Linked DNA regions of Lepisosteus oculatus. The protein of the gene in region 2 interacts with the protein of the main gene of each other region in a pairwise test. Links are inferred from orthologs where the notes say so. Each region holds a gene or a part of one and is shown on either strand. Other genes may lie near its edges.

The links.
Region 1: the proteins of txndc5 (region 2) and gmppb interact in a two-hybrid assay, tested with the Homo sapiens proteins (2 studies listed by BioGRID and IntAct). The two-hybrid records come from large-scale screens. The link is inferred for Lepisosteus oculatus from reciprocal best matches to the Homo sapiens genes TXNDC5 and GMPPB.

The regions. Positions count from the first base shown.
Region 1 is NC_090699.1:57,054,246-57,064,661, reverse strand, and holds the start of gmppb (mannose-1-phosphate guanyltransferase beta), read right to left. Parts: upstream 5,277-10,416; 5' UTR 5,085-5,276; intron 3,227-5,084; 5' UTR 3,221-3,226; coding exon 3,092-3,220; intron 2,691-3,091; coding exon 2,610-2,690; intron 2,161-2,609; coding exon 2,112-2,160; intron 1,245-2,111; coding exon 1,102-1,244; intron 1-1,101. UniProt on the Homo sapiens protein: Catalytic subunit of the GMPPA-GMPPB mannose-1-phosphate guanylyltransferase complex. Catalyzes the formation of GDP-mannose, an essential precursor of glycan moieties of glycoproteins and glycolipids. Can catalyze the reverse reaction in vitro.
Region 2 is NC_090701.1:3,349,980-3,360,549, reverse strand, and holds the start of txndc5 (thioredoxin domain-containing protein 5), read left to right. Parts: upstream 1-6,171; 5' UTR 6,172-6,598; coding exon 6,599-6,789; intron 6,790-8,491; coding exon 8,492-8,641; intron 8,642-10,570. UniProt on the Homo sapiens protein: Protein disulfide isomerase of the endoplasmic reticulum lumen involved in the formation of disulfide bonds in proteins. Can reduce insulin disulfide bonds.

The sequences.
Region 1 (10,416 bases), on a different chromosome or scaffold from region 2:
TTTAGTTTCAATCTTTTTATTGAGGTTTTACCAGGGGAACAGTCCATCAAGATAAACAAACGCAGTTTCCAAATTATAAATCCCAGTAAATTCCCGACCCCGGATCCCTCTCCCCACCACACCTCAAACCAAAGAGTCTACGGAATACGGCAAAAGGTAAAAACAAGTAAACAACTTGTTAACAAAAGAATAAAACTAAAAACAAACACGGAGCAGTACCGGGATTAAAAATCAAAGAAAAGACACAAACTAAAATCAAATAAGGATAAGAAATTATGGGACAGAGAAACAACAACAAAATGCTCTACTTAGGGTACATCCTCAGAGTCTGAAAGCATTTGCTTCTCATTATGGGTAAGAAAACGTTCGCAATGAAACCATTTTGTGTATGCATATTTTTCTGCCTTTTAATTCACAAAATATACATACCAGGACAACACAACTTCCTCAAGGCCTGGCTGATGACCAGATGCAAGACCTATCATACTGTATCTCGGGTTACCCTTGACCAATCATTATTTGCAAAGGCATTCTATGACATCCACTCTCAGACCCTTCCTGCTAGAGAGGTTTAGCCAGGAACGGCTCTATATGAATTGGAATATGATCCCTGTACACAATACAGTACTACTGACTCTCAGCCCTCACAATGTGGAAGTACTGTATATAGCCTCACAATGTGGAAGTACTGAAAGTCAAGACTGGCTAGAATAAAACAAACAATTAAAAAAAAGTTTGGGTAATAGAAACAGCAGTTCCAGGTATGTAAGATGTTACTCAACTGAGTGTAAAAGCTGGTTGCTGAAAACATTCAACATTCAAACATCAGTTTCGCCCATTCTCTTGGGCATTGATACAGTATGTTTCCCTCTCTTGAATGTACGGCCAGGATTTATCACCGTCATCTCTACACAAGCTAGTGTGGAGTGTGGGGGACAGAGTACAAGTGGGTATTCCCTAATTTCACAGTCTAAACACCTTCACCTCCATGCTGATCCCAATCGTGGAACACTGAAAAGATTCCTGACCCGCTGTTCCCTCACCAAAACGCGGGTGATACGCAGTTAAGGGGAGAGTGATGTGGACGTAGAGGTCACTCACCACTATGGTGCCCTCCTTGCCATGGTGCTTGTGGAACTTGAGCATGTCCTCGAAGGGGAAGTCACAGATGACATCGCTGTTAAGCACAAAGAAGGGCTCTGTGTTGTCAGTCAGAAGCTCCCTGGCCAGAGCTAAGGGCCCCGCTAAAACACAGATGAACACAGTCATCACTAAACCCACCAAGAAATACATCAAAATATCAGCCACTGAACAGTGAGCCTGCAGTAATCATTCGCACATAAAACAGGACGTCCCCTTTAACGGCCCAAGTTCACCCATTGTTTTTAACAAAGGGGGTTCTCTGTCCTGAAACGATGCTCTCTTGTTATTCACATTCAACAATTGCAAACTACTTTATATGCAACTACTTTTATAGATCAGATTATATATTCAATATTTCTCATTATTCAATATTTTTATTTAATTTTATGTAATACTTTAGCATGGGTGTTGGGGTCATGTAATACTTTAGCATGAGTTCATCTGACTAACGAAAACACCAGACGAAAAGAGTCTTCACCTCTTTTATTAGTGTTGGGTACATTTAATTGTGCCAGTCTTGACAGAAAGTAGTTGGAAAGGCAATGGCTTGCTATCTGACGACACCATTGCAAACCACATGTGAACAGGAATGAGTAAAAACTTGATTTGATCCTCTGGTAAACTGATAATCAGATTCAGAAAAATTATCCAAGTTATTAGACCAAGGGGAAAGTGGATCACTGAGCAAGTCAGTTATTCACCAGCAGTGAGGGAATTCATCCTTAATTAATTAATTCATCCTGAGCTAAATATATGACTATATCAATAACACTGAAGTGCTTCTCAGGCACAGCTCACCACATCTTACTTCTTAATCTCACAATATTGTTTTTTAAAAAGCGAGAATTTCCCTTTTCATATGTTTTTATGCCTTTCAGTCTTCAAAGTCTGTACTTATTAAGGTGCTCAAGAGCAATTATTGTTGTTGCTGGTTTTAGTATTTTTCCAGTCCTTCCTGATTCACTTACCTGTTCCCAATGGCTCCTTTTCATGAGAGAGGGATATTCGAATCCCAAGCTGTGAGAGAGCAAGATAAGAAATGGCATGAAACACAGAAGCTCGGCGAAAATGTCCCGCTTTAAAGCGATTCAAACACTAAATACGGGTATTCAGCACCCACAAGTAGTGGGTAGTCTAACATCAGACATAAACATGCAGGAACTAGATGCTCCTCTGGTAAGGCAGCAAAGCTGTCTATGTTACTGTAATCCTTTAAGGTTATGTCTAATATATCCACATGTATTGACTGTACATGTTCAAATGTGAAAATTATAGCCCTTCAAATGTAACCATTTATATATATGCCTCTGACTAGTTGTACTAGTTGTAAAAGTCATAATATGAACAAAGTGCCGATACAGTATGTGACAGTGAATATCAAAGTCACCCTGAATCCCCATGTCCCTTATAAACTAAGCATTCCCAGAAATAAGCTCCTTCTCTTTCACATCTTCCAAGCCACCTACCCTCTGCTCCTGGGCCTTCATTTCCTTCTCCAGCAGCTCAGACATGTAGCTGACAGCCAGGATGACATGGTTCACACCAGCCTAAGCAATGCAAAAAAAACTCCACTTAGCACACAGACCATTTCCCTTGGACTTAAGACCATCACATACCACAAGGAACTACTCTGAATGGAACCTGAACTACTCTGGTTACAGACAAAAATACATAAGAACAAGACTGATTTTTCTTTTTGACTGGCAGCTTTTTGTAAGAAAAACAGCTCAGGAATGAAGATTCACAGAAGAACAAGTTTCAAAACATAATGGTTATTTCTATTAGTAAAACACCCTACCATGGTTGAAGACTTACCTTGAATATTAGCAGAGTCCTTGATAATTTTACTTCCACTGTTTTTAAAGGTGGGACACCATAGATGATCGGCAGGACTCAGTCAATTTCCTGAAGGAATAATTACTTTCAATCACACAAAATCTGTACTGACCTTCACCAGGGCTTCCACCTGGTGCAGAAGAATGGGCTTGTTGCAGAACTCCACCAATGGCTTTGGCACGCTCAGCGTCAGGGGTCGAAGTCTTGTCCCATAGCCACCAACCAAGATCAGCGCTTTCATGTTGACCTGAAAGATGGTGTAGAGACAGGTGGCTCAGTCTGAGGCAGGCATCTCCTCTAAGCACTGAACATTCAGCTCTTTCAATTTTCCCTCTACACACCCCTATGTAACTTCATCTTTGCATAATGCCAGCTGTAACTGTTGGACCGTTATCACTTCACATGACTCCCTCTATAATCCTGTCACCACGGCCTCAGCAGTTCAAGTGCCTTTCCAAGTCTTGATCAGTGTATGGAAGGACTAAATAAGGACATAGGATCAGTTTACCACCTTCTCTTTGTCTAATTTTCTTCACAATACAAAGAACTTCTGTTGCCCTTGAACCACTACAGCTTTGATTTTTCAACCAGAGCTCTTTAATATTATCCTTCGGATGAGACGTAAAACTCAGGTCCTGACTCTCTGTGGTCATTAAAAATCCCAGGGCGTTTCTAGAAAAGAGTAAGGTTGTAACTCCTGCGTCCTGGCCAAATTTCCCATTGGCCTTTATCAATCATGGCCTCCTAATAATCCCCATCTATAAGTTGGCTACATCACTCTGTTCTCCTCCCCACTGATAGCTGATGTGTGGGGAGCGTTCTGGCGCACTATGGCTGCCGTCGCATCATCCAGGTGGATGCTGCACATTGGTGGTGGTGTAGGAGAGTCCCCATTACCAATAAAGCGCTTTGAGTGAAGCGTCCAATAATATAATATAATACATTACTATTATTATCCTTCTGTGGTGGCAAAAACTTACGGTAGAAGACCATATTCAGAGTAAAGCCAAGCTAACATATACTTTGGATTTTTTTTATTTCAGAGTGGAAAATAAAAAAAAATCACAATGTATTTAGCATGACATGCATCTCATGATAGGCAAAACAGATTGCACAGTTCAGCTTCAAATTTGTGTGACTTTTCTATGGTTACAATGGAGGCTGGGTTATGGACGAGCTGAAGACTGTCAACACAATTACTGAATGGTGGACACTGTATTTATTCTTCTGTTTATGGGAGATGAAATAACACTACAGAAACTGACAGTAATGCAGAAATTACATCTATTATGAACTGACATTGACCTCACCTTTAATGGATCATACCACAGAACAAGAGACAGAAATAAAAATATTTTGAAACAGAAGGTCAATAAGACCCTCGTGGCAAACACAGAAGTCACTTAACAGACACAAAAACCCATAAAAACACACTGAAGTAAAAAAAAAGGCGTTTTTTTTGCAAGTTCAGAAGAATGTAATATAATGTATTTGAACATTGCTACTTTCACTGCCTGAAATGTCCAGGAAGACGAAGACTCAGAGATCGTGATTCACACTGCATCTACAATCTACTGTGTCTGTTCAACAAGTTAGTCCAGTTATTCGAGGTAGTTAGCGAATTGAAAACATGACGTCACGGCTGGTTACGTGTAAAAAAACATTTCATTCATAAAAAACACGAATAACAATTATCGGCAGGATTACATTTGACGCACTTCACGGTTTAATTAAAAACTATGTGCACTGTAATAACTGAAAAGTATTAGTCCCGAAACATAATCATTTTTTTCGTGGCATATGAAGTGAACGAAAACACCTGTACCATCACAGGTTGTGATGAGTAATTGAACGAACTGGTATGCAGCACTGTACAGTATTGTTGCACACATTAACAAGCGTCCTGCGAGCTATGATGAAAAATACATTCAGCAGTTACTTTTTCTTCGAATGCACACATCAAAGTCTAAAATGGAAAAACATTAAGATGAGTTAATACTGAAAACAACACTAAAAATAAAGGCAGAACCCGAATGAAAAAAGCAAACTTCATACAGCAGCACATTTGCCGTTGAGAATCAAAACCTTCTCACTTCGTCACTTACCTGCTGTATCAAACTTTAGGATATTTCACTGTTCGGCCTGGAATGTGTACTCAAAACAGCGATCTCGATACGGCAGGGCTGTTAAATAATTTGCACAATATATAAACTACAATATTACTGTTTTCTCTTTCGTGAATGACTGACAGCACAGTAACTCTATCAAAGGGGCGGGACAAGACCACAATGCATTTGAACAACAACTACTACGAAATCTGGGGTTAGGGGTCATTGGGAAATACCACTTTGCAGGAAGGTGACTTTAACAAAATTATGAATAAACTCGGTGAAGGCAGCAAGATGCCCCTATACTAATATCTAGCGACTAATATAAACATGGCATTTATATTTGGGATTTTTCTTAATTCGAAACAAATAAAACGTCCTCTTCTTTTTATCAGCACGTTGGTTCTTCCATTCGGTCACCTAGCAACCAATGGACGCCAAGTTGTGAGGAAATAGGGAAGTTGCGAAGGGGGAGGATGAGTAAACCACATTACTGCAGAGTCTCCTTACTCATCATTCAGATTATAACACTACTGCTCCTTTGCATTGTGTTTTGGCTGCACAATTACCTCAGCGAGTGTTTTATTTTGTACATCCTGGTTTGACCGCGCCCCTTCCACGGTGCTTGCCGGCCTATCACAAGGAACTAACGTGGCAAGGAGGAAGTAGTGCGAATTGTCCAATAGCAATCGCACACAACACTAAGGTCTTTTTTTTTTTGCTGACGTACATACGAGTTACCCATGACGTATTAGTCCATTTGTCCAATTAGAAAGAAGCAAGTTGAGCAAGTGCATAGTTAAAAAAACGATCTCAAATAAAGGTACGTGACTAGAATTCTGGTGATTTAGTCTTCCTTGCATTAGGCGGGTGAAGACAATGAAGATAATGGTAAGGGGTTCCATAGTTAGATGGTTAGATTTAGAGCTTTTAATACAGTGATTACCGTTGTAACTACACCTATATTATTGTTAGTACCAGAAAGACGTGTATTTTAGAGTACCGTGAAATGAACTACATGTTAAGAACTGAAACAGTCTCTGAACGCCGAGGTGAATCCAAGAAAATCTTATTTTAGTCCAGTTAGCTTGCAAAATATAGCGTGACCTCGTATTGGCGACGTTTAATGCGAAAATACAGTGGATGGGTTGATTTTCCATATGCATACGGTCCAGAGACGTCCTTCTGACAGCCCCTGGGTTTATAATGTAAAGCATATCCATACTACTCCCGGTTTTATAGGTAACAAATCAATCTTTATGACTCTGGAGAACTTGTGATAAATTGTAGGAAATCTGGTGAATAGAGTAATTTACACATGATTTGGAACATAAATTGAGCCCTTAAGACCCAAAGTTCCCTGAATTAAAAGCAACTTGCTTAATTGATCACTAACTTACAATGGCTCCCTGATCTTCAGAAATGAGTGATTTTGGATGAAGACCATTGTGGGTTTTGAGAACCAGTGCTGGTGACCCCTTTATTATAGGCTGGTGGTTCTCACCCCTGGTCCCGAAGGACAACAGTGCCAGTTTTAAGTCCAACTGGGAATCCACCGATAACCAGTGCGAAAGGATGCTTGATCTATTTGCTGGTTCATTCTTTTTTCTGCATTAAGTCCTTGGTTTCAGAAATACCCTAAAGAATGTTATATGCACCTTCCACAAATATACATTTATAAGTCTCTCCTCAACTTCCTAATTATTCCCATTATTTCTGTCTTAAAAGCTTTTAATTATGAGCACAGATAGGCACGACATTGCATCAGGCACACCTAAAGTTTTTTTTTTCTTCGGTTACTCTGGTCACATTTTTAGTTAACATACCTGGATAACTCTGAAACCGAGGAATTGGCACAAAATTGATAGTTAGAAACTCCATTCACTTCTTATGAGATGAAAGAAAACCTAATAACATACCTATATTAGAAAATCTCAATAAATTCACATACAATTTGAACTTGGCTAGAGCACAAAATAAATGAAAATCCAACAGTGCCCCAGGACCATTCTTGAGAACCACTGTTACAAGGAACTCAAACCCTTCTATGATTAGAAACAGCTGCAATTAAGACCAATTCCATCATCAATAATTAATTCAATTAAGACATTGAGAGGATGGATGAAATGAAAACCCGATGGACCCATAGTTCTTCAAGACCAGGAGCACAGCTTTAGAGAATGGCCACAGATTTACACTGGTAAAAATGTGTTTCTTCAGGGTAAAGCTTACCAAGATCTTAGTCTCACTAGAAAAAGAAAGCCTTAAAACCTAATCTTTGTAACCACTGGTGCAATATCGAACAAGTTGTATGATGCATTGCTGTAATCCATTTCTAATTATATTAGTCTGTGAAATGGGAAAAAATTGCATCACCATTTCTGAGAAAAATGTTTTACTGTGAAATTTTAATACTGCAACTTCTAGCGACTATATACCTGGTGAAATCAATCTGGTTTTGTTTTGACATCAATAAAATGTTAGTTTTTATTTATCCCACCTCAAGGCACCAGTGTACTGTCAATAAAGAGACAAAGAGTTAACTGAGAAGATATTACTTAATCAAATATACAGTATATAATGTTTACATGATACACTTCTGAATTTGAGTCTGTATTTTCAAGTTTAATTATGGAATAAAAAGCTGCATCATGTTTGAATGTTTGTACTTATCATGTACAGTAAATATTCAAATTGATTTCAATTAATATGAAAATCAAAATTGAAAAATCTTTTTGATTAGATGTCTTGTTTAAGGGATAAATGATGTGACTACTGTTTGTGTTGCTGCTCTACAGGTCATTTGGTTACACAGATGTTTTATTATTAATGAGTATTATAATGTTATAATATTCTAACATTAGTTCCTCTCAGCGATACTTGATGAATAGATTCTGAAAAACACTTCCACAATACTGTATTTTCTCCTTTACTTCATAGCTTTTTCTGTGCTTACCTCAAAAAACTGCATGTTCCAGGCGATGCTTGGAAAGATTCCTGGCAAGTCTACAAGTTTAATTTGCTATGGGTATTCTTATGCTTTAAGTGACACAACATGCATAGAATTCAGCAAAAGTTACTATCTGCCTGCACACAGTTTTAAAAACGTTCAGAAGTTTGTCTAGTATATTTGTGTGCACTTAGTTGGATGGAATATTAACTAATTGTACTGACCTGTTTTGCAGCACTGATATTATTTGAATGTTTATATGTACTATTTCTAGTTTCAATTGCAAGTTAATATGTTATTAAACCCAATAATAATTGGTTACACTTATATAGCGCTTTTCTGGATACTCCACTCAAAGTGCTTTACAGGTAATGGGGACTCCCCTCCACCACCACCAATGTGCAGCCCCACCTGGATGATGCGATGGCAGGCATAGCGCGCCAGAACGCTCACCACACATCAGCTATCAGTGGGAGGAGAGCAGAGTAATTAAGCCAATTCAGAGTGGGGATTATTAGGAAGCCATGATTGGTATGGGCCAATGGGAAATTTGGCCAGGACACCGGGGTTACACCCCTACTCTTTTCGAGAAACACCCTGGGATTTTTAATGACCACAGAGAGTCAGGACCTCGGTTTTACGTCTCATCTGAAGGACGGCACCTATTTACAGTATAGTGTCTCAGTCACTATACTGGGGCATTAGGACCCACCTGGACCGCAGGGTGAGTGCCCCCTGCTGGCCCCACTAACACCTCTTCGGTAAGCAGCCTTAGTTTTTCCCAGGAGGTCTCCATCCAGGTACTGACCAGGCTCACACCTGCTTAGCTTCATTGGGCTGCCAGTTGTGAGTTGCAGAGTGACATGGCTGCTGACGTCATATAGTCTTACTTCCCAAGTCTTCTTTCCGGCAGCAGCATAGTGAAAAAAATACAAATATTTTGTAGCTTGTGGTATAGGGAAGAGTTCAAATGCACCAGTTTTAATATAGGTTTGAGGCGATTGATCCAGTTTCTTATTCTTAAGCAATTATATGTACAGTAAGTTCCAGAAGTACAAATTCCATGCTGCAGCTGAATGCTTCATGGGATCTCAATTTTCACCTCAAGTGAAAAGATGTTCAAAACAGATCAACATGGAAGATTGTGGCGATACCCACAGAATACTCTGATCCCTTGACCCATTTTATCAGCAAAATCTGCACATATTCCATGTGAATCACTACCCAAAACAGGACATTCTCTGATGCTTCCTATAATCTTAATTTCTATGACATGGAGGGAAATTAAGATTATAGAAAGATTCTATAGGAATCTAAGAATTTTCAGCCATGAGCAATTACAAATAAAATCCAGTTTCTGTCACTTGCCAGTGCTGTTATGCTGCAAAACATTGGTAGGATTTTTATTAACCATTTATTGGCTTAATCCTAGGGAGTACATTGCTCTAACATTGTTACATGAACATTCTAATACAATGAATTTATGCCACTGGGCTTGGCAACTGCTTTCTTTGCACTGCTATACATTCGGAAAATAAACTACTATAAAGCTGCCCAGACATGACAAGACACAAGCATTTGATGTCTGGTGTGAAAATGTAATGTAGCCAGGATTCCCTATTAAAGGACTGATTTATAACTGGTACATCCAAATTTCAAATTGCAAGATTGTTTTCCTATCAAAATTAACAACATGGATTCATATACCTGTAGCACCCTTTATTAATCCAAAGACTCCCTAAGGTGCTCTAGAAAAATGGACCCAGATGAAAAACATATAAAAATATATTCAGGCCCTTTTAAATAAAATGTATGCTCCCTGTACACCAGATATTATAAAAGATTAAATGAGATTAAAATACAGTTCAGTTCTGCTGATGTGCAGCACAGTAGTAGAATCTTTCAGTGTTTTTCTTAAGTGTACTGTTCCAGATGTGTTGCATGTCAATCACTAAAACTAATATATACACATAAATAACAAAAGAGATGAGACACATTTTTTTAAATAATTGTTTTAGTTCACATTCAAAGTTGTCATAAAGATGTCATTTTATATTTCTTCTTAAAAAAATATCCATCCATGCAACAAAAAAAAGATACTTTGAATTTTTGGGGCAATATATTTCTCTACTAATCATCTGACTCATTTCTATGGAAAGACTGGCAATAAACATCCAACAAAGAGGAGGGTTTTATGACTTTAAACCGATCCCCTTTAAAGAGTGCAGACTTTTTTATTTCTTTTAATTTGGCCCAATCTTACCTTCTCTGGCATATAGCAGAAGTTCAATTTTACTAGAGACTGAACTCCACAATAGAAAGAAACAGCACAAACTAGGCTATTTTTGAAATGCTAAAATATTTTAAATAAAGAATAAA
Region 2 (10,570 bases):
ACAGAGATATCCAATATCTTAGTGAAGGTATTCCAAGTGTGTTGGCGAGGTCTCCACAAGTCCTTTATGGCTTTCAAAGCTTTTGCTTGTTTTAGCAAGGTATGAAGCTTGGTCAATCATTTCACAGAGCAAAGTGTTTAAACTCATCAGCACAGCTTGGTTCATGCTTTTTAAAAGTGTTTTCCATCACAGTTCTGTTCTGATAAAAAAAATGTATCTTGTCTTGGTTGAAGGACAGTTTTTCAAGCAAGGCTTCTGTCCGAAGCACATGCTTCTGAACAGGCCACTGGGGGTCTGTCAAGTTCCTGGCCACGGGCAGGAGAAACCCCCCACCACAGTCATCTGGGAGATCGGTGAGGGAGCCCTGGGACAGGTCCTGGGCTGAGGCCTTGGTCATGGTGGACCAGTCATGGAGTCAAGGCAGCAGCCGAGTCAACAGTCATCCGAATCATGATTTGGCTATAACCAAAGTCTCTCCAAGATGGGTGCCCCTAAACTTCAGTGCTCAGGGTCGACACCAGTGGAGGGAGTCAATTGCTCGACTTGTACTGAGCTCCCTGCCTGACCGGATGCTAGAGGTGAGACGCGAGTTCACCAATGCTGCGCACCCTGAGAGCCGCCAGGAATCCATGCGTCTGAAGCTCCAGGGGGCTCTGCCTCCAAGACACTACACACTAAACCACCAGGGGCCAAGATCAGCTTTATTAAGGAAGAGCAGCATTGAGGAGGAGGAGGCAGTGCCGAGGGATGACCTGCCACAGTTGCTCCTTGCCAGATTCCTTCTGCGGAAGGAAATACCTCAATATTTCTGTACTGTATGAGCCATTTACATCAAAAACAGGACAACCAATGATCACCTGGGATTAATAAGGTATAGCAGAGCACAGCTGTCTCTTGATGTCTAGTTATAGCCACTCTTCAGCCTTGACAATGTCTGAAGCTGCCACTTGAAATCAAGGACATACTGTACCAGACAGAACAGCCCAGTCAAGTACAGTGCACTAATGAGTCAGGTTGAATCCTGCAGACTGTGCATGCTTTGACAGTTTATTTATGAACTAGGGTAACTCACTTATACTGTATGTATGTGTAAGGTAATTCACTTACCATGCATACACATGCACACGTATTCTGATATGCTGCTTCTTTTGTATTCATCCCAGCAGAGTGATATACAGTAAGATCCCACCTGCTGGTGGTTTCCAGAAGGATTTAGCAACGAGGAAACGGGTTTGATCTGTGATCTCCGTGGCTCGGTGCTTTGTTTTGACAGGCATTACATGTCCTCTGTTCTTCACATCTCTCCATTCTCGAGTCACACCACAGGGACTCGAGAATCGTTCGTCCAAAATATCGTGTTCACAAAGCCACACACACCCCGAGCTTACACACGGTCTGGATTTTCCAGCAGCAAGTCCTCCCTCGAGCTGTGAGCCAGCACCTGTAGCGATGACAGCTTTGGGACTCCGGCCCAAGTTCTATGAGCACTCTGAAATTGACACGTACAACCTTCAGTAATGTTATTACTGTGAAGAAATGCACACCTGTGGGGCATGTTAAATACAGTGAGTCAAATGTGGTAGTCATTAGGAATCTGAACACTCAGCACACAGTAGTGCTAGAGAAAATGAGCTGCCCTGGTTTTTTAATCATATCACTGCCTGCTTCCAATGAAAAAAGTTTTTTTAAATATTAATTCCTGAGAAAGACTATGTGAACTAGATGAAGTGATTTCAAGAGTTTTTATAAATGGCTGGGTGGATTAATGATTGCTCTAACGGATCTCGTCATGCAGCAACTTGAAAGAAACCAGTGTTTTTTAATCATTGTTGAGTGGTTGTTTACCACAGCATCGATTGACAGGATTTCAGAATAATAATGTGATTTACAAAAATACAAGACTTAGAGCTGTTTCTGGAATGGAGACAAAAGCATAGGAAAGGGATAAGGGGGTTAAACACTTAAATAAAGACTTTCCTTCAGTACAAAGGAACAAACATCTTTGAGATTTTGCAAGGGCAACCTGTTTAATTTCGTTCTCCCTGTCCTGCAAATGAACTATTTAAAATATGAACTGAAAGTCGAAAAATTGAAATCAATGCTGAGATTCGTAACTACCAGCTGTGTCCCCTCTGAACATTCTCTAACAAAACAGGAAGCTTCACTGCAAAGTTTTTTTTCTTTGAATGTGTGCCAGTTAAAATAATATAACATTCAAAAGTAATGGTTTTGATTGTATATTTTTTCATTAATAACTTCCTAAAGATAAATACAGAATAATTCTGGTAATTTTAAGGAAGAATAAAGTGCACACTTTCATTTCTTAATTCTTATTTTATCAATCAAATGCCACTGTATGAAATGGTTGGAATGCACAAGACTAAAGTTGTGAATATTTAAGAAGCATAAAATAATTATATCAGATTGAAAATAATAATAATACACTAAACTCACAGTGTGATATTAAGAACATAAGAAAGGTTAAAAAATTAGAGGAGATTTCAACCTATGGAGCCCATTTAGTAGTTAGTAACTGATCCAAAGATCTAATTCAAATGTTTTAAAGAACCCAGGATATCAGCTTCAACAACATGGATGGGTAGCTTTTCTATACTTGCACTGGGAGTATTATTCTGTATTGCAGCAGAACAGCATTGAATCAAATGATTTATTGCATATACAGGTAAGGCACTGATGTGAGTATGAGTAAATACATATTTCTTCATTTACTTAAGTGCATTTCATAGGTATTGCGTTTTAATACGCATTTAAAGCTAGATTTCAGAATGGATTTAATGATATTTCAATAAATGTCATTTTGAGTCAGCCTATGTCAGTTATTAAGCCAATATTTTATTGATTTTAATTAGAGAGCCATATTTGTGCTCACAGCCAATTTAAACTGTCATTTTAAAAGTGACACAGTATTTGTAATCTGTTACTTGAACCATTTTTTCTTTCTCTCAGAAGCTTTGGCAGTGAAGTGGCAATTTGGTCTGCCTGGCTGCCTCTTCACACCAGTCACTTGCTGACTTCATTGCTTTTTTTTAATGTGTTAACTCAAGCAATTAACAAAATAAACACTGTGTCTTCAAATCTCCCGGGACCGTTGATCTGCTTTTTCTATTACAGCACATTAGCTATGGCTTGGCTACTATGGACAGCGAGCCCCGATAGTGCATTTCCAGGAGAAACTGCAGTGTTCAGGCTGCCTTGTGGTAAGAATTCCAGACTTGACATCGGCAGTTCAGCCACCCATGTACAAGCTGTGAAGGTGAAGTGCAGAGGACAGAAAACTCACAACAACAACTGTTTTCCCCAACAAACACTTCATGTCAGATTCCCTAATTACAGCTTTTTTAATGCCTTCTGCCAGGAATTGCTTCTCGTTATCTTTGTGTAAAGTCATGCAATGTTGAAGCTCTTAACCAGACCTTTCCTTACACAAACTGCATTTACTGAAGTCTTGCAGAAACTTGCTGCACTGAGTGCTTTCTGTTTCATTGTTTTGTTAATTATTGAATGCATGAGTGCACTGAAAGCAATGTGAAATATAGCTGGATATTATAATGGAATTAAATGCATTTACACATAGTTTTTAACAATAATAATAATTATTGTTGTGCTTTTCTGGACACTCCACTCAAAGCGCTTTACAGGTAATGGGGATCCCCTCCACCACCACCAATGTGCAGCCCCACCTGGATGATGCGACGGCAGCCATAGTGCGCCAGAACGCTCACCACACACCAGCTCTCAGTGGGGATGAGAGCAGAGTAATGAAGCCAATTCATACTGTAGATGGGGATTATTAGGAGGCCATAATTGGTAAGGGCCAATGGGAAATTTGGCCAGGACATTGGGGTTACACCCCTACTCTTTTTGAGAAACGCCCTGGGATTTTTAATGACCACAGAGAGTCAGGACCTCGGTTTTACGTCTCATCCGAAGGACGGCGCCTGTTTACAGTACAGTGTCCCCGTCACTATACTGGGGCATGAGGACCCACACAGACCGCAGGGTGAGCGCCCCCTGCTGGCCCCACTAACACCTCTTCCAGCAGCAACCTTAGTTTTTTTGCCCCAGGAGGTCTCCCATCCAGGTACTGACCAGGCTCACACCTGCTGAGCTTCAGTGGGCTGCCAGTTGTGTGTTGCAGAGTGATATGGCTGCTTTTCCAACTAGATTTGATGGAATTATTTGATAATGTATTGCACTCTGCCCTAAAACTGTTATAAGGAAAAGAATTGTTTGAAAATGGATTGTTTGAAAATGGACAAATTAACCTCCTTAAAGAGAAATAACGCAGCAGTCCTAAAATCTCATAGCTCTGATAAGTTTTAAAATGACATTGGGGGTGAGGAGCTTCAATACTAATACTACTGAGAAACAAGGGCTCTCAGCCAAGTTATATTCCAGAGTCTGGGTCATTACTATTAAGAGTAGAGGGAGGGATCAGATATACTAGAAAATGTCCTCATTTTTTTTCCCTGGAAAATTTTCCAGGCCTGTTTTCTTTAAATTGTTATGAACCGGCACAGGAGGGGAAGGAGACTTATTTCATATTGTTTCCTGTTCATTCGTTGATACAATGTAATTGGTTCTCCTGCACACAGGGCAGCTGGCAGGTGAAGCAAAGTTTCCAGTGAAGAACTTGGAGCACAGGTGTCTCTCATTGTGCCGATGGTGCAGACCTTGACCCAGAAGGCCTGCGCTGAAAACATTCCGACACAGCATGTGCGGCACCACTCTTGTGCTTTGAGTTTCAAGCTGAAGGAGAGAGTGGTCTATGCATTTAATGTCATCCCTGGCACAGCTCTTAGTTTCTAAAATGTCATTGATACTACAAATGACCTCCAGAATTATCTGCTGCAGCTATCACTCCCTACCTCAATTCATTCCATCATTAGTTTTGCCCTAGCAATGGGGTGGCATATTTTAAGTTATAACATTCGGGTAATTTGGGTAAAATTTTAAAAATCAAAGGCTATTTTGTACCGATTCATTGATAGGGGTGGGTTTTGCAGGGATCTACTTTATGATTGCTATTTTGAATGTGCCTCTTAACCACATAGTCCTAAATTAGGGAGGGGGAGGGGCGTACATTTAAAATATTTTTTTATTAGAATGCTGACACAGCATCAGTCGACAATCTGAACAGGAAAATGTTGCCTTAGGTCCCAGCTGACTGTAAGGAGGTCATAAAAACTTCAGAAGTGTTGAATGTTGACTGTTGGTCAGCTCACCCCGGCGTCTGACCTTTTGTAAATCCTGCAAGAGGTTTTAAGAAAATGATGTGAACGAACGCCAGCGCGGTTGTTACTGAGTTTTAGTCTGCTTTACTTGAACACCACATCCTGGACTGAACAGATCGTGGATTTCAGCACAAACTGAGATGTACAGAGGTGTGCCACAAAGGGAACAGAAGCAAAGGCAACAGTATTTGTTTAGTTTATTTTGATTTTCATAATACCCTTCTTGCTAATGAGGTATTAGTTCACTAAAGCTGCATGTGTCTAATCAGAAATAGAACAGAGGCACTATTCTCAGTTAAATCTCCTCTCTAATCCCTTCCGGTATAAAGGTACTGTATCTTAGTCGAAAGGATTACCTTCTTCATCAGTCTTTTTTCAAATACATAAATGCCAACATCTTACCTGAATCTAAATGTCCCTCAATTTAACTCATCTTGCATTATATTATCATAATATCTCACACCATAAATCCTTTCCTTTACACCTAAATCTCTGCTTTGAAAACTGGGATGACCAACGTGACGAGAAGTACAGTACACTAGCTGACATGACTGTATAACGAGCATTTTATATCAAGTGACCCTTTCAACAACAGCAAATAAGTCCGCTATCTCTTTGAACAAATTGGATTTCGATACAAGGAGCTCAGCTAAAGGGCTGAGAAGAATAAGATGATGCTCTTTGATGAGGTCAGCAATGTAAGTACACATCGGCGTATTTGTGAGGCCAGCGAAGCGGTCTACGCGTCCGGAAATCATCACTTTTCAGAGAGCTGGGGCTCTAGATGTCCCGGGCTTGCACTGAAAATGCCGTCAAGTGTCCAGTATTTGATACATCATAAACAACATCATTATCATCGTCCTTATGCCTGAATTAAAACTACCGACGGGAGCCCAACAGAAACTAGGTGTGGCGGACGGCGGATGGCCGGGTTGCGCGAAGTCCTTTTAAATCGCGAGAAAACTTTGGGAATCACACCACGCTGTGTTAACATCGTATCTCTGGATATTTATTCTCACGTATAACATAAATGATATGGGGGTTCTGGAAGACTACACACTTTTTTTCTTTTATTCATTCCTGATCTCTCGGGAGCTACAGTCGCCGGCTCGCCCAGGCACCGGGACAGCCCGGACCCGTCTAGGCGCTGCCTGCGCCGCAAGTCGCTTTACGGCAGCGTGATCCACACACCGCCGCAAGAAATGAAACCCGGCAGAGCTGAATGAAAGCAGAAAGGGGGCGGGAAGGGAAGGGGGGGGAGTGCTGAATTGTATCCGAGCCGTCGCCGCTTCCCCCGCACAGTCTCAGTCTCGGATACAGGTGGCCCGGGCACGACGAGAGGCATGGTCTGCACAGCTGCCCCGCACGGTGTGGCGCTCCTGCTCGGCCTCGCCAGCTGCGCTCTGCTCCTCGGCCCGGCGAGGTGCGAGGACGGAGCCGAGGAGGACGAGCACTCGAAACATCTGTACACGGCCGAGATGTTCGGCAACGCCGTCGAGATCGCCCCGCACTTCGTCATGTTCTTCGCCCCCTGGTAATGGGTTTTTATTCCTCTGCCGGTACAACAACAACAAGAACAGCAGCAAAAAGGGCTGTCGCTCGATTCGAGGTGTTAACGTTTTTAGGATGGCCTTATCCGCCTTCGCCCGTAAAACCGCGAGTGCAACCAGGGAAGAAGGAGGGGGGTGGGAAAGATTAGTGGATCTTGCATGGCGTGGGCCGCCTGGGTTTGTGAAGTCTTAATGGAGCTCGAATGTAACGTGAGAAGCAAAAAAAAAAGACTTTTAAAAGAACATTGTTGCACGTCGTGTCGTGATCGGCAGGACGCACGGCCGATTTGTTAACGGGACATGAATAGGAAAATAAACTAGACGGTTCCTGACGCTCTCAAGGCGAGATTAGGATCTGAAAGGGAGGTTTTGCTAAACTTTTTTTTTTTGTTCTTAAAACAATGGGCGCTTTGGGATGCCGCGGGAAGGAGGGTCCTTTTAGGGACGGGTTCGGTTGGGGATTAGTGATTTATTGTGGACGCGATGGAAGAGGACGAGCTTTAAATTAGTAGTTTTCTCTTGCAGTCATGTTGCTCTTGCACGGTAGAACAAAAGTGTATCCAAGTGGCCTAAAAAGGATTTGATGTCCCAGCGTTAGCTCTGGGATCCGGAGTTGTGCCGTGGCTGCTGACGTGGCTAGTACTGACGTATCTCTTACAGACGGATATAGCTACACACCTAGATTGAATAATTTTTGGTCAGCATAGCATTACTGGTTTATACGAGGAATTGCCTTTTCAGCAGCCAGTTTTGAACTTTAACACGTCCTTGATCTGTGACTGCACGCGTGAACTAGGAAATGTTTAAACTCGAGGTCTGCTTCGATTGAACATTACCTTGCTGGATCTGCGGTTTAGGTCAAGGAAGTCTAAGATGCCATGTCACTGTGAGGTTCTTATGCATGATATGTGCCAGAGGACTGCAGTATTCGTCCTGGACGGTTGGTGTGTGTCTGCAGGGTTTCCAGGCAGGTCGGTGGGTCCAATAAACCCAATAAGAAGTTGATTTTTAATTCATTAGGGTTAATTAGAGCTAATGTTTCATGAAACCCTGCAGACACAGTGGCTGTTCGGGATCAGAAATGAAGACTGCTGCCTTTGGGTAATCACAGGGCACAGAAACATTTCTTTCCGACTTTTTTCTGATTTTTTAAAAATTATTACCAGTTATTTTTATTTTGATATCAACATTGCCACCTTTTATTTGGTGAAGAGCCACTACTTGAAAGCAGATGGGAAACCAGCAGGTTACTAGTCTAGTGTGAAGCAGCAGCTCCCAGAGAGCTAGGGGCTGTCGTAGAAGTGATCCAGTTAGGCCGATACTGACCCGATTCAGGTCGTCACGTGCCCAGCTGGGCACTGACCCAGACTGAAATCCAGGGGGGATCCCGAGCTCAGCTGCGAAGGGGCGCTCGTGCTGCAGTCTGCAGCCTGAGTGCAGAGCACACACTAACGTCCGAACATCACAACCTCCCTGCTGCTGTCACCAGACTGTTCAGTTCCATTTCCACAGCCTGCAGCTCCTCGTCTTGAGCCGTTCTCTCACTACTGGCGCCTCTCTGGAGTGAAAGTGTGAAGGCCAGGCTGTCCCAGCTTTGAGTGGCTCATTGACTGTCGCAGGGGCTGAGGTGTAGCCTAGCTGGTGAGACGTGTCTCACCCCTCCCCCCCCCCCTTCTGTCTCCTCAGGTGTGGCCACTGCCAGAGGCTCCAGGGCACGTGGAACGAGATGGCGGACAAGTACAACAGCATGGAGTCGCCCCCCGCCTACGTTGTCAAGGTGGACTGCACGAAGGAGACCACGGTCTGCTCTGGACAGGGCGTCCGAGGGTACCCCACGTGAGTGTGTTTCAGGAACACGCGTGTGCGGTTTGCCTTCGTGTGTACAGGGGGAACTCCGGATGGGGCCAAATGAACGAAAACAGCTGCACTGGGGATCCTCACCTCAAGCAGCATTGGGGAGCAGGAAAAGACACCTGGCCTCCTCTCGCTCAGAACCGGGTTTTTTCACCTCATCCAGAAAGACACAGACATTGCTGCCGGTCACTGGAGGGGGTCTGGGTTGTGCCAGCAAGGCATCTGGACTAAAAACATAAGATGAAATACGCAGACGAGGCTGAAGAGTATCCTCTGACTGACTTGTCTGTCCTAGACGGTCATTTTACACCTGCTCTTTTTGTGGTTGCTCCTGGAATTTCTTCTCTTTGTAGAAGAGTGATTGGTTTGGTAGCCGTCCCTGAAGAGGACCAGTTGTAGATGAATAGTGTTCTTTTAGTCCCATTAGTGTGTGGCGCTCCCTCTGGATTCACACATCAGGTGCTTGACTGTTCTGCGGGTCTCTAGTGTATTAAATTATCGTACCAAATGTGTATAATAATACTGGTATTGAAAGAGAAGTGGAGCATGTTTATTCTTGAGCAATTTGATTAGATGGGGAAGCTTGGCGGTTTTTATTGTTCTTCCTTCCTTTATTTGTTATGGGATTCAGCGTTCTCTACAGCAAACATTCAACCGATGACAAATTTTCTTGTTCTACTCCAGACAATTAAAGATGCAGTGGCGCAGAGGCGTTTAACATTCAAGGCGCATAGCTCGATCAAAAGCGGTTGTCAAGTGCCCTGCTGCGTGGCTTTGGTTAAGTGAAAGAAGAGGCCACGGTAAAATAAAAGACTGCATGATGTTTTATTAATGCCTGTCGAAACTTTTAAATGGAACACCTCATGCTTTCCATGTTGCTCTCTGTCTGTAGTAGTAATAGGAAATCTGAATCAAGCAGATAACATCTCACATGGCATAGCTGGAAAAAGCCGTCTCATTTAACAAGAATGTCTCTCAGTCTTAGGAAGAGGGTAGCAAAGAACGTCTTGGTGTTACTGCTTGACATGTTGCAGACTTTAAATGTTATATCTAAACTAGTGTGTGAGCAGTTAAATCATCGTTAATCTGTTGTGTAATGGTCTCTAAGATTTTGCTTTTGCGGTTTCACCTAATGATTCCCTTCATTATGTAGACAAGTGTTAATGTTATACAACATTTAACATTGCTGACGGTGTCGCGTTAAGCTTGTTTGGACTGTGTTTTGTGTTAAAGATTGCTGAATAACAAGCTTGATTTATTCTCTCCCAAACTATCGCAGATGAGTAACGGTCACAATTGTTGTAATATTGGAAACTAAAGGAGGCTTTGAGGAAACTGTTGATGCTCACAGAGTGTACATATTTTAATTCCTGAAGGCGGCTAAGATGTCATGAGATATTTACACACCACTGTATTTCGTAAATTTTTAATTTTTCTTTGAAAGATGTTAGAGATGCAGCTTGTTAAAAAATATTGCATAATATGCGTGAAATTGAAGTAAAAACCAGTTGAATCTTTACCTGGTCCTTCCCCACTTTGATTGTTTTTGGGGATTTTGAAACTACTGTACCTTGGAGATATATTTCTGTCTTTGTTTCACAGCAAGGATCTCTTCAGTTTCAAGATGCACACGAATGTTCATTTGTGTGTTTTGTGTTCTTGGACATATCCTGACTCTACCGTATTGTATAAGTGCAATGAAAACGGGCTGCTTTAAAGTCGCCCTTTAGAGTTTATAACCTACTGAATAGCAGATTGGGATGTGGGAATGTGAAAAAGCTACCCAGCTGTGGTGTTAAAGCCAGTTCCCTGGTTTCCTTCCAGAAAGGCCTGGATTGGATCCATTAACTACTAACTCCCCAACAGGCTTCATGGGCTCTTCTCTTTTGGAAACCTTCTTGGGCTCCACAA